3 linked regions of the Tribolium castaneum genome follow. The protein of the gene in region 1 binds, or shares a complex with, the protein of each later gene. Links are inferred from orthologs where the notes say so. Each region holds a gene or a part of one and is shown on either strand. Other genes may lie near its edges.

What was found.
Region 2: Bap170 (region 1) and polybromo share a complex: the UniProt entries of both Homo sapiens proteins name them as parts of the SWI/SNF-B (PBAF) chromatin remodeling complex. The link is inferred for Tribolium castaneum from reciprocal best matches to the Homo sapiens genes ARID2 and PBRM1.
Region 3: Bap170 (region 1) and Snr1 share a complex: the UniProt entries of both Homo sapiens proteins name them as parts of the SWI/SNF-B (PBAF) chromatin remodeling complex. The link is inferred for Tribolium castaneum from reciprocal best matches to the Homo sapiens genes ARID2 and SMARCB1.

What each region holds. Positions count from the first base shown.
Region 1 is NC_087402.1:3,512,552-3,516,148, reverse strand, and holds part of Bap170 (AT-rich interactive domain-containing protein 2), read left to right. Parts: intron 1-147; coding exon 148-366; intron 367-422; coding exon 423-1,505; intron 1,506-2,027; coding exon 2,028-2,274; intron 2,275-2,332; coding exon 2,333-2,720; intron 2,721-2,872; coding exon 2,873-3,067; intron 3,068-3,597. UniProt on the Homo sapiens protein: Involved in transcriptional activation and repression of select genes by chromatin remodeling (alteration of DNA-nucleosome topology). Required for the stability of the SWI/SNF chromatin remodeling complex SWI/SNF-B (PBAF).
Region 2 is NC_087397.1:6,258,125-6,262,501, forward strand, and holds the start of polybromo (protein polybromo-1), read left to right. Parts: upstream 1-1,498; 5' UTR 1,499-1,640; intron 1,641-1,947; exon of another isoform or gene 1,948-1,969; 5' UTR 1,970-1,973; coding exon 1,974-2,099; intron 2,100-2,148; coding exon 2,149-2,459; intron 2,460-2,508; coding exon 2,509-2,947; intron 2,948-2,993; coding exon 2,994-3,170; intron 3,171-3,216; coding exon 3,217-3,507; intron 3,508-3,556; coding exon 3,557-3,652; intron 3,653-3,820; coding exon 3,821-3,991; intron 3,992-4,037; coding exon 4,038-4,345; intron 4,346-4,377. Other genes in the region: Fdx1 (adrenodoxin-like protein 1, mitochondrial), read left to right, coding at 1-211; thioredoxin domain-containing protein, read right to left, coding at 282-441, 489-614, 662-823, 871-1,009, 1,062-1,247, 1,295-1,433. UniProt on the Homo sapiens protein: Involved in transcriptional activation and repression of select genes by chromatin remodeling (alteration of DNA-nucleosome topology). Required for the stability of the SWI/SNF chromatin remodeling complex SWI/SNF-B (PBAF).
Region 3 is NC_087401.1:13,705,472-13,709,778, reverse strand, and holds the start of Snr1 (SWI/SNF-related matrix-associated actin-dependent regulator of chromatin subfamily B member 1), read left to right. Parts: upstream 1-1,438; 5' UTR 1,439-1,664; coding exon 1,665-1,936; intron 1,937-1,983; coding exon 1,984-2,291; intron 2,292-4,307.

The sequences.
Region 1 (3,597 bases):
CGTTAATGGACCACCAGTGTTACAATAAAGAATTTCAAGATACATTTCTTTCCTTGGAAAATTTAAACGAAAAATACCAAATACAGTTAAATCAAGAAATAAAACTTATGTCTAAGATAGTGTATTTATTTTTTGGGTTTTTTACAGATACGAACAGAGAGTACAACCATTTGTCGACGAGCATATACAAATCGTCTGATTACGACAGGCTAGCCTTATCGTTGATATCGCCGTTGCCCAACGAGCAAGATTTTGCCATAAACGTTTGTACTTTACTCTCCAACGATGGCAAACACACACTCAAACTCGAGAAACACCCGCGAATCGTCGATTATCTTTTGGCACATGCTGGTGTTTTTTGCCATAGTGAGTATTGCAGTTGGTGAAAATGCCGCTGAATTAATTGTGTAATAATTATTTAGGCTCTCTCCGACGTCTCTTCGTCCATAATTACTCGACGGTCAGAAAGCACCCCATTCACAATTTCTGGTCGGAAGTGCTCGAATCGAAGGAATTTTTGGATCTCACCGACGAAAACTCCGTCTTTATAAAATCCGAAAGTGTCGATAGTGGCGAAAGTGCGAAATCGGAAATCGTCGTGGAAAAATGTGATTCTGATAGTGACTGTGAAATAACGGATAATAAACGATTTAAAATAACCCCAAGTGATCGTGAACTGTTCTGTTTGGAACGCGGTCTCGGCACCCAAGACTACATCGGCCAAAGAGTGCTTCAAGTGACTACAATTTTAAGGAATCTCAGTTTTATCGAAGAGAACGTACCGATTTTACTACAAAACAAGACTTTTTTGCGGTTTTTGTTACTGTGCGCGTCGTCGAGATGGGGATATTTGAAGAATTTAGGTTTGGACATGTTGGGTAACATCGCGACGGATTTTTTAGTCAAGGATTATCCCAACGACAGATTCTCGGCGATTTTACTAAAAATCATCGTTAACGGTTTGAAGAGCGAAGATCGTGCGCTGTGTATTTCTTCCCTCGAAGTTTTAAATAAATTAAGCCAGAATGAACTGAACGAAGAAACGCTTTTGCGATTTTTAGAAGTTGACGTTTACGAAAAAGTTTGTTCGTTTTTAACGATTCACGATGTGATGTTACTCATTTACACTTTGGAGTGTTTGTATTCGTTATCGTCGCTTGGGGAACGTTCCTGTAATTTAATTGTGAGCAATCACGGCGTGGTTGACACTCTTGTGTCTTTAGTAACAGTCGAAGGGAAAAGTTACGGACCGAAAGCCTGCATCGGAATGAAATTAGTAGAGACACTGCCTGGTGGCGTTAGCACAACGGCAAGTCAAGCGATAACGACACCGGTCGCCACCACGACAAATTCGACTGTTGCGAGCACCTCGACGACTACGACGGCCACCAGTGCGGTTTTATCGACGATTACGGCCGTCAAAACGAGTGTGCAGACGACGCCAGTGAGGACGGTACAAATTACGCCTCAGAGGCTTTTGACTATAACGCCGAGTTCCTCAACCGGTACGTTTAAACACAAGCAGGAAAACTATTTAAATAGAGAAAAACGCAGAAACTGGTTATTTTATTATTTAGTAGAATTGATACAGTTGTAAGACAAGGAAACGACTACTTTAATATTTTTTGTAAAAGTCGTTTGTCTATTCATATAAAATTGGTTTATAGAGAATTGGACTGGTTTACAATAAAACCAGTTTCAAATTTGAATGTAGCCGATTTCTTTTTATTTTTCGTGGTTTTTTAACGATGTTTTAGTCAGGAAAATGTACAGAAGCCGAGTTAAATTCGATAGAAAAAAATAACGTTTGGAGATTCTTCTGCCAATTTTTCCAATTTTGGAACGGCTTTCTTGCCTTAATACTGATGAGACGATTTTTTACGAACAATTTGATTATTGTCAGCCACTTGTTAAGTTATGTTATTTAATCATTTACATAGCGAAGTCACTTTTCATGTTTCTGTGCAAAGTCAATATTGAAAAATAAATATTTAAAAATTGGTGTGTTCACCTGAAATAATTTTTAGTAACGACGACTGCTACGACGCCCGCACAGACCATGACCCCCCAGCAGCTGATCCAGCAACAGCACGCGCACCAGCAGGCCATCCACGAGAACGAGCAGTTTGCTTTAGCGTGGCTGAGGGCCACGTACGAGCCCTGCGTGAACGGCAAAGTGGATCACCAGGAGTTGTACAAACAGTATCTGAATTCGTGTTCGAAAATCGGTCGACGAGGGGTGATTTCACCCTTGCATTTTCCGAGATGCGTTAGGTGAGCTGAGGCTGATTAGTCGAAAAATCGCGATGTTTATTTGTGTGGTGTGCTGCAGGTCAGTATTTGGCGGGACGGTTGGCCCGAATCCGATGAAGCCGTCCAGCGCGAACGAGCCCCAGTATTATGAAGGGATAAAGGTGCGAGCTCAACCCCTCATTATTAATATCCAACCGGCTTCCACCACCAATCCCGTCACCACCACCCCACCACCACAGCCCACTAAAGGACCAAACAGGCGAAATAAGCAATCGGCCGCAACAAGTCCCTCACAAACGCCAACTTTGACGGTCATGGCCGACAATAGTAATTCCAACGACACTATGAATAACCCACCCGTCTCTCCCGCCTCACCTATCCTCAAGGCGCAGCTAAGTGCTCCCCCCAAACAGAGGGACGCCACTGTGGCTTCGCCGCCCACTAGTAAAGGCGATATGAAAAGTCAGGTAATTGAGAGGCACAAACGGCTGTCCGTACTTTTCATTTCATTTCTATCGCTGTTTCTTCCCTTTATAATAATTTCTAACCTTCCCCTAACACATATCATCAAATATAATTGATTTTTTCCCCTGTTTGATTGGAGTTTTTTGGCATTAAGGTAATGGCACATCCGCATTTGAGCCAAGCTTTATTGGGCAGCAATTCAGCGCAGACGACCGCCGGCTCAAGCAAAGATAATCAGGCAGGTCAAAGCAACACGTCACTCATCAAAAGCTTACTGGCCACAAAGGTAAACGATTGCATGACTACAGTGAGCATGAGGACTGCAACAGACTGCCAAAATGTAGCTCAGGTAACACACTAATCAAATTAGCTTAATAAAAACAAAACACGAGAAAGAAATAATTAAGGAAACCACGAATCTTTCCTTAACTATTTACAGCCTCAAGTCTTTAATTGCGTTTTTCAAGTACGTCGCATGTTTTTAGTGTTTTGTAATAAAATTACTAACAATTTCTATTAATGTGTTTATTTTGTTACTAATACGACTCGAATAATGCTTATTGTGTTTTTCTAGTAATTTTATATAATTACGTCGTATTGTGAGCAGGGCGACCCATCTAAAGCTGGTCTTTCTATTATAATTATAATATTATTAGCTATTTTTATAATATGCACTCGTATTATGATCGGTAAAAATAATAAACTCACATTTTAGCGGGCCATAAGTGGAAAAGATTAAATACACTTACCTTGCCCTCTCATCTCCATACAGCGAACCTACTGAAATTGAAAAAAAATCACAATAAGTACAATGTGTCAATCAATTACTTGAAAATATTACAAATTTAAAATAAATAAATAAATAAATAAATAAATAAA
Region 2 (4,377 bases), on another chromosome or scaffold:
CACTTGTCACGTTTATGTGAAAAGTGATCACGAACTTACGCCAGCTGAGGAAAAAGAAGAGGATTTGTTAGACATGGCGCCGTTTCTTAAAGAAAACTCTAGGTTAGGTTGTCAGATTATTTTAACCAAAGAATTAGAAGGGCTTGAGTTAGAATTGCCACAAGCAACGAGGAACTTTTACGTTGATGGCCACACACCAGCGCCTCATTAACCTTCTATTGTGTAAATAACGAGTTATGAAGTCAGCCACCAATTTATTTTAATAAAAAAGTGTTAAAAATTTATTTGTCTTTCTTGCTTGTCGGTTTTTGCGGCTTTTCAGTCTTACGACATTTCATTAAAATTATCAACAAGAAACCAACAACAGTCGCCGCTAAACCAATTTTCCACGCCATTGCGCTTTCCTTCAAATTAAGTACGATATTTTCGACAATATTATCACTGAAAAATTCCATTATAACACAAGAAGATAAATTGCAATTGCTTACAATGGCGTTTTAGGCGATGGTACTTTAATGGGAGTCACGTTTTTGTACCATTCTTGGGCAAAAGAAGTGAAAGACGCAACGTCGTACTTTTGGATTTGATATTTATACATTTTGCCTTGTCTGAAGCTAAAAAAATGTGTGAGAATTGAAACAAAATTGAGAAGTCAATTTACAGAATAAAAGTTGGGGCTTGGGAGACTCCAAATCGTGTGGCGGTAGCGGCCCCATCTGTCGCCTTATTGACTCGTGCGACGTTCATTCGTGTTTTTAATTGTGCCCCGACTGTCTCCCACCGGGCTTGAAGGCGGTGGCAATCGACACAGTCTGGGGTATAACTTTGAAAAAATTAAACAAAAATCTACAACCATTTAAAAAGACTTACAACATCACAAACCAGTCGCCTGTGGTAGCCCCACTGGCGGCCTGGGTTAAGTGTTCAAAAGTCTCATCGTTTAATTCCTTCACCACCGGTTCTTTATTGTTAACAAATGTGTGAAGAATTAGCTCTTCTGAAGGAATATCTAAAGCAAAATAAATGCGAATAAAATTGATTACGGTTAAATGTAGCAATACCATTATAAAGTAGAGGAATTCCATGTCTGAAAAACACCAAAACCGGCTCCTTCGTGGGGCTATACAGTCTTGTTAACTGGCTGTTAACGACTTTAACAGTCTCTCCTTCAAATGATTTAGAGAACTCTTCCTCCAAATTTGTTAAAATGTTTTCGAAGTTATCACAAAGTTCGCAATTTTTCGCAGCTGGAATTTTCGTTCAATCTTGATAGGAACGCAAAGTGGGGACTTACAAAACAGCGCAACCACATAAGTCTCACTTCTGATTAAGTTCATGAGATCATCATCCTGGATTGATTTTATTGCACCACAGTTACAAAAACTATTGAAAATAACGGACAGACACGACAAAATATACAAAAACCTACTCATTTTAGCTCAATAACCTCACATAACCCAAAACATTCAACAACACGAAAATCCCCCAGAATTGTCAACCATCAGCCATTTTGTTGACGAGTGATGCCGGTTTTTATTATCGATTTATGATTTGTGCACAAATGTGAAGTGCAAGGGTTTATTTGCAAAAACGGTGTGTTTTTGTGGACTTTTCCTTGTGTGATGATCAACTGAATCCAGGTTTGTCCAATTGCAACCATAATTAGCAGTTGTTTCATGATATTTGCCCAATTAGTGTAAGGCCATGACTGTATTAATTTTTACGGCCATTGATTGTGTTTTTCAATAATAAAAAATCAATTAACGAGATTTGACAATCGTACATTGTCAATAAGCTATTTCTGGCGCGTGTTTATGGTTACCGACGTCCGTGGTATTCCGTTTAGCGTTTGTTTACGACGTCATTTGACACAACAATTGGCGCTCATTTGAATTAAGACTTCTGTAATTTGATTTCTGTACGATTCACTACTTTAGTTAAATGTAGCCTTGGTTGAAAACCTTTTCAGCATAATGAGTAAAAGGCGTCGAACGAGTTCTATAGCCAGTAGGGGGCAAGAAGACGATTCTTTGGATAGTCTGGAGGCTTCGACTAGTACAGGACCTACGATGCGAAAGCGCAGCAAAAAACTAGATCCTGTAACAGGAAATTGCGAGTTTGTTCCACATTGTGACGCCTTGTTTTTAGATGGAACTTTGTCAACAATTGTACGATTCAATCCGCAATCACAAAAAAGACGACGGGACTCTTCTCTGCGATTCGTTTATTCGAGTACCGAAACGTAGACAAGAGCCCGGCTATTATGAGGTTGTTTCAAACCCGATCGATTTGTTGAAAGTGCAACAAAAACTGAAAACTGAGGAATATGAGGATATCGAGGATTTGCAGAACGATATCGAGTTAATTGTCAATAACACGAAAGCTTTCTATAAAAAGAATTCGCAGGAGTATCGCGACGCCATAGATTTGTGGGCCTTGTTTCTCTCTAACAAACACAAGTGAGTCCCGTTTTTAAATTAATTAACACTTAGCCATGTCTCAATTCAGACTACTTAATACCAAAGACGATGAACCCGAACCTAAGGGAAAAATCGTGTTAAAAGTCGGAAGACCGAGCAAAAAAGCCGGCACTCCGGTCGAAACCAAAGAACCTGAGCACTCTGAGGACACTTCAGAGAGTTCGAATTTCGACGACGATGTCAATTTATACGAGGAGCTGTTCACTTCAGTCATGACAGCGACCGATAATGAAAATCGGCCACTTCACACTTCTTTCCAGCTAATTCCCTCGAAGAAAAAATATCCCGAGTATTACGAAGTGATCGAACAACCCATCGATCTAAAAATGATTGCCACCAAAATCCAAACTAACGACTATTGCAGCTTGGCCGAGCTCGAGAAAGACTTGATGTTAATGTGCAAAAACGCCTGTTTGTTTAACGAACCCGGTTCGCAGATTTACAAAAACGCGAAAGCGCTGAAAAAGGTGAGAGCCGGGTTGTTTGTACCATTGACCCTTCAGTATTTTGTAGATAATTCAAAGTAAAAAAGCCGAGCTGGATCACATTAAATTAAGTTTGGGTAAAAGCAGCGAACGCATTAGGAATAAACGGTTAAGGGGCAGTACATCGCTATCTGCGGTCACTGCAGCCCTAAGGGACGACGAGTCGGACGCTGAGGTGGAACCAGAGGAACAGATGGACGATGAAGTAGCAAATCAAAGTGCAAAGTCGTTTTTTCAATGAATTGTTTCAGTCAATTGCTGATCCTCTTGATGTCGAAGATCCCCAGTGGCAATTGTTCGAGGCTGTGCGTTCAGTGACGAGTAATAGCGGAGTTTCCTTGAGCGAACCCTTCTGGAAATTGCCCTCGAAACGTTTCTATCCAGACTATTACCGCGAGATCAAAAACCCAGTCTCTTTGACTCAAATCAAACGAAAACTGACCAAGCACGCTTATGGCACCATAAGCGAAGTGGCCGGTGACATGACCATAATGTTTGAGAATGCGAAAAAGTATAACCTGCCGTCGTCAAGGTTGTATAAAGTGAGTTTGGTAACGTTTTCAACGTGAAATTTGAGCGAGTTTGTTCCAGGACGCTGTCAAGTTGCAAAAGGTCATGCAAATGAAAGTGCAAGAACTACTTGACATTGATCAGGTAACATACAGAGTCACTAACAAAAACCGGAAGGTATGCTACTGCACTGCTTATGTCTTCATTGCATTTATTAACTGTCGGGAGTTATTCATTTTGTGGGCGCTTACGTTGCTAACATCAGTCGGCTTGTTTCACTATTTTCCTAATCAGGCGTTTGAGTTGATGGTAATTGTTTAAATTTTTGTCTTTTTCAATCTTCAGGATACAGACAGTGAGGCAGATTCCGAAGTCGTTGTGCGCAAAAAGCCAGGACCTAAGCCAAAAAATACGCAATCGAGTGGCAGCACGCCACAAAGAGGGCGTCCACCGCGAGACCCAATCCCGCTAAAAAAACGTTTGCACGCTTTAGCGAAATATATGCTCGACTATACTGTCAGTTACACGTTTTGCAATTTTTTTTCTATTAGCCATTTTTCAGTGTGAGGATGGCCGAAAGCCCATGCTCGGCTTTATGGAAAAACCCTCGAAAAAATTGTATTCGGAATATTACGAAGTCATTTCGGAACCGATCGATTTCCTCGAAATTGAGCAAAAAATTCGCGCCGATCAGTACAGCTCCGAGAGTGACTTAGTCAAAGATTTTAAGCTCATGTTTTCGAACTGCCGACAGTTTAACGAGGAAAATTCGCCAATTTACGAGGATTCCCTCGTTTTGGAAAAACATCTGTTGGATAAAGTTGGGCATAGTGTCACTCCGGAAAAGAAGGAAAAAACCGTAGTCAGAGTGTACGTTTCCGGCTGAAAAATAAAAAAATAAC
Region 3 (4,307 bases), on another chromosome or scaffold:
TGCTTGGCTCATCTCAGTCATGAAGTCACGCTCGAAATAGATTTACCGAGCATTTGCGGTATTTTTAGATTTTCTGGCGGAGAAATTGGCACAGGGCATAATTTTGAGGTTAGGTTGACGTCCCCATTTCTAGGGATTTTTATCTGTCACTAGCATTCCCAAGCGGGAATTCTGGTCACCAACAGAAAATCAACGACAGAAAAGACATTTCTAGAAACATTCACGTTTCTAGAATTTTACATTTTTAAATTAATACCACTAATAGTCTTCATAATTGTAAAACTAATGGTACTTTTCATTTTTTTATGTTCGTAAAAATAAAAAAGTTATGAGACCTCAAAGTCTCTCTAGGTGTGACGTCGGGCGGCACAATTGACTCAGCTGGTTAAAATTAACATGTTTCCAAAATTATTTCGCTGTTCCTCAATTTTTTCCATTTAGCTATTGCAGTCCTATATCTTTTATGAATGTTTAATGAACTATAACTAAATAAAATAAATAAAATTCAGAAATCTCACGTTATAAAACCGTTGGATATCAAAAAATGAGAACAAGACATCTTTAGAAAAACAAGAGAATCGTAATTTCATATCTTTGAAAACACTAGGTTTATAATTATAAACCACATCTACTTATTCATCGAACGTATCTTCAAAAGCATTAACAAATAAAGAAATTGTATTTCTGTAAATAACAAGTCGTTTGTAGAACACTTATTTTTTTACATATTTTTTTTTGTACAAAACATTCTGCAAGCATCGCTTGTTCTATAAATCATAAAAATTTCCATTAGTTAATGTTTTTAGTTTTTTTTAAATAAAATAATATTTTATTAATATAAATATTTCTCATTAATTAATATTTATTATTTATAAGAAATTGTAGAAAAAATCTGATAAAATTCGAAGGCTTACAGAAAGAAATAAAGCAAAAAAAATCACAAACGCTGATTTTTGTGTGATTATTTAAATGGATTATTATTGGTTATTAGTGATTCATTACAGTATCTCCTTAAACAAATTACTTCAATTATCACAAATAACACTTTCTTTCAATATTTATATCTTTTAAGTCAATAAAATTATCCGGAGATCTCAATACAATGCCGAAAGGAACAGTAGTGTGTAAATCGCCGTAAATGACCCAATACTTAACAGTTTTTGATTACGCAATAGATTAAATAACTCTTTGTAATCAAAAATCTTTTTCACTTTTTTATCAAAGTCCAACATAAAACACTTTATAATCACGAAAAAACGCAAAACCAAAGGCAACACTAGTATTTACCGGCATATAATTTTAAATTGACTCTCTCTAATGTAAAAAATTAACAGTACACACGCAGAATTGCTAAATAATCCATTAAATGAGCAATTACCAAAACTTGTTACTGTTTTCGGCAAGTACGACATGTCGTCACCAGAGGACGCCTAGTTAATGCATTTCTGGTGATTTCAGTTTTGTCAATTAGACTAGCCACCAAAAGTGTTTTTTTACGAATTGTTTGAATTAATTAACCCCAAGTACCATCTCGTGCAAAACCAAACGAAATAATGTGAATCGTGTCCTTGCTTTGTGTAATTTATGCCCGTATTTTCCATTTGAGTGCCCTGTTGACATTTGTTGGTGTCACCTAACCTCACAGTGTTAAAGGACGCGGCAAAATGGCCCTCCGAACATTCGGTGAAAAACCGATAACTTTCCAATTGGAGGAAAATGGGGAGTATTACTGTGTGGGCTCCGAGGTGGGGAACTACCTGCGCCTGTTCCGGGGTTCCCTCTACAAGAAATACCCCGGAATGTACCGCAGGTCAATCACAAACGAGGAACGCAAACGCCTCATCGAGCTGGGCTTGAGCCAGCACGTTCTGGCCAGCAGTGTCTCACTGCTTCGGGCCTCGGAAGTCGAGGATATCATTGAGGGAAATGACGAAAAGTTGGTTTGTTTTTTGGGGGTTTTGTTGTTATTTGTTGATTATTTAGGTATAAGGCTGTTTCGGTGCACACTTCGGACCCGCCGATGCCGAGGGAGAGTAAATCGAAGAAGTCGATGCAATGGGTGCCCTCACTCCCAAACTCCAGTCATTTGGACGCTGTGCCCCAAGCCACCCCGATTAATCGGAACAGAGTGGCGGCGAAGAAAGTTCGGACGTTTCCGTTATGTTTTGATGATACTGATCCAGAGCTGAATATGCAAAATGCGGCACAAGGGGAGTTGTTGGTCCCGATAAGGCTGGATATGGAAATTGAGGGGCAGAAGCTGAGAGACACTTTCACGTGGAATAAAAACGGTAATTTTTTGGGTTTTTCTAATCACAGTACGCTCTGCATTTGAAATAAAGTTGTAACTTTTACATTATTTATTCTTATCAACTTATTTTCGAATACTTATTAGCGCATTTTGATCTGAAATTTAATTCTTGAATAATTTTTAAACCTGCCACCAGTCATTTAAACTAATCAAGATTGCGTGATACGAGAAAAATATGTTGGCAATGACTGTAGTCTAGTAACTAAGGTTACATCTGTTATCTAAATTGACACCATATTGTTGATACTGGGTCCTGATTATTAACTACAAACTTGTAGTAAATGATAAATTTTTTGATAAAACGCATTTTTAAACACTTTTAATATGATTTATAACTTTTTTTGAGTTTAATTTAATTAAAACACGTCAAAAGATCATCTAAATATGTCGAAAATGACCTGAATTTGACACTCTTTAAAAACAGTTCCAATTAGATTAAAGTGTATGTTTTCTTTAAAGTGACTTTGCTTTTTTGTTGAAGCAAAACTTCATAAAAACGCTAAAAAATCATCTAAATATGTTGAGTAATAGCGTTATTTCCAGATTATTTTGCCTTTTTTTTATTAAACTTATCTTGTTTTTGAGTATGAGACTTACTTGTTCTTGAAAGTTTTGTCAAAAAATGACTAAATTAGGTCGAAATTGACGTTTTCTTCAGTAGTGATTTGGACACATTTCGTGAAAATGCACCGAAAAATCATCTAAATATGTCAAAACTTATGTCATTTTGACAATGTTTTCTCTTTTTTGAAAACTTTTTTTTTATTAAATACCCCGAAAAATATCTAAATATATCGAAAGTTACGGTTGGTTCGACATTATTTTAGTTTTTGTCGTTAGATTTATTTTTTTTAGCGAGAAACTGACTTTTTTGTAAAATTTTGTCAAAAATAAGCAAATTGAGATAAAATTGACGTCCTAGTTTTAAGAATTTCTGGTAGGTTTATTTGTTTTGGAGCCAGGAACTGCAAAGTTTCGTGACAGAATTAATCAAATGTAATGTTTTTTTTAACAGCTTAATTTCTTAAAATAATCTAGCTTTGTTTTTATACGAAATTGCATTAAAATGCGCCGAAAAATTTACTTTCATATTTTTCTTGCCTTTTTCATTAAGTAAGTAAGTAAGTTTTTGAGCGAAAATCTCCATTGTTTTGAAGAATTTTGTCAAAAAGCCAATTTAAATAAAAATTGAGGTGCTTTTTCAGTCTATTTAATATATTATTATTTATTAATTATTCTAACCAACTGTATTTCTGTTGAAAAATGTACTAAACACGCTCAAAAATGTAAAATAATTGAGTTTTAAGTTTAAAATGGTGATAAAACTCCCAAAAAATGCAAAATTATCACCATTTTTGACGCAGGTTAGTGACTTTTCGGCTTATTTTTGAGAAATTTAATAATAATAAAAGTGTTTTATTCTCCCATTTTTGTTATTTGATAATTGTAGAGTGGGCCCAAGTCCCAAACCTTTGTTTTTATCTATAGCCGACCTAATTTAAAGTTTAGACCAAGTAAATACCAACTCAAGAAAAAAAAAACTTTTTTTTTTTTTCAGAAGTTTCGTTTTTTCTTCTGTCTTTTTGTTTTTTAGTTCGAACATGTATTTGACTGTCATCCTTCATCATCAACAGAGTATTTTTTTTAATTACACAATATTTTGTGCATTGTTGTTAGTTTCGTAGTTTTTTTATTTTTATTATTTTTATATTTGTTGAAATCGGGATATTAGAAATTATATTTAGGGTTTCAATTACCAACTGTTAAACTTTTATAAAAAAAATTTAACAAGACGAAAATACAAAACAACCGTTGGGTATTTTTGAGAGACGATTTTTTAAAATAAAAAAAATAAAAAAAAATTGTATAAAAAATAATGTTTGGTGCTTTTGAGCGACTAGTTTTTGGTTTTTTTTTCAATATCAAAAAAATCAGCAAACGTAACTTTAGTCACTTATATAGTTATTGACAACGTATATCTCGCAACTCGATTCAG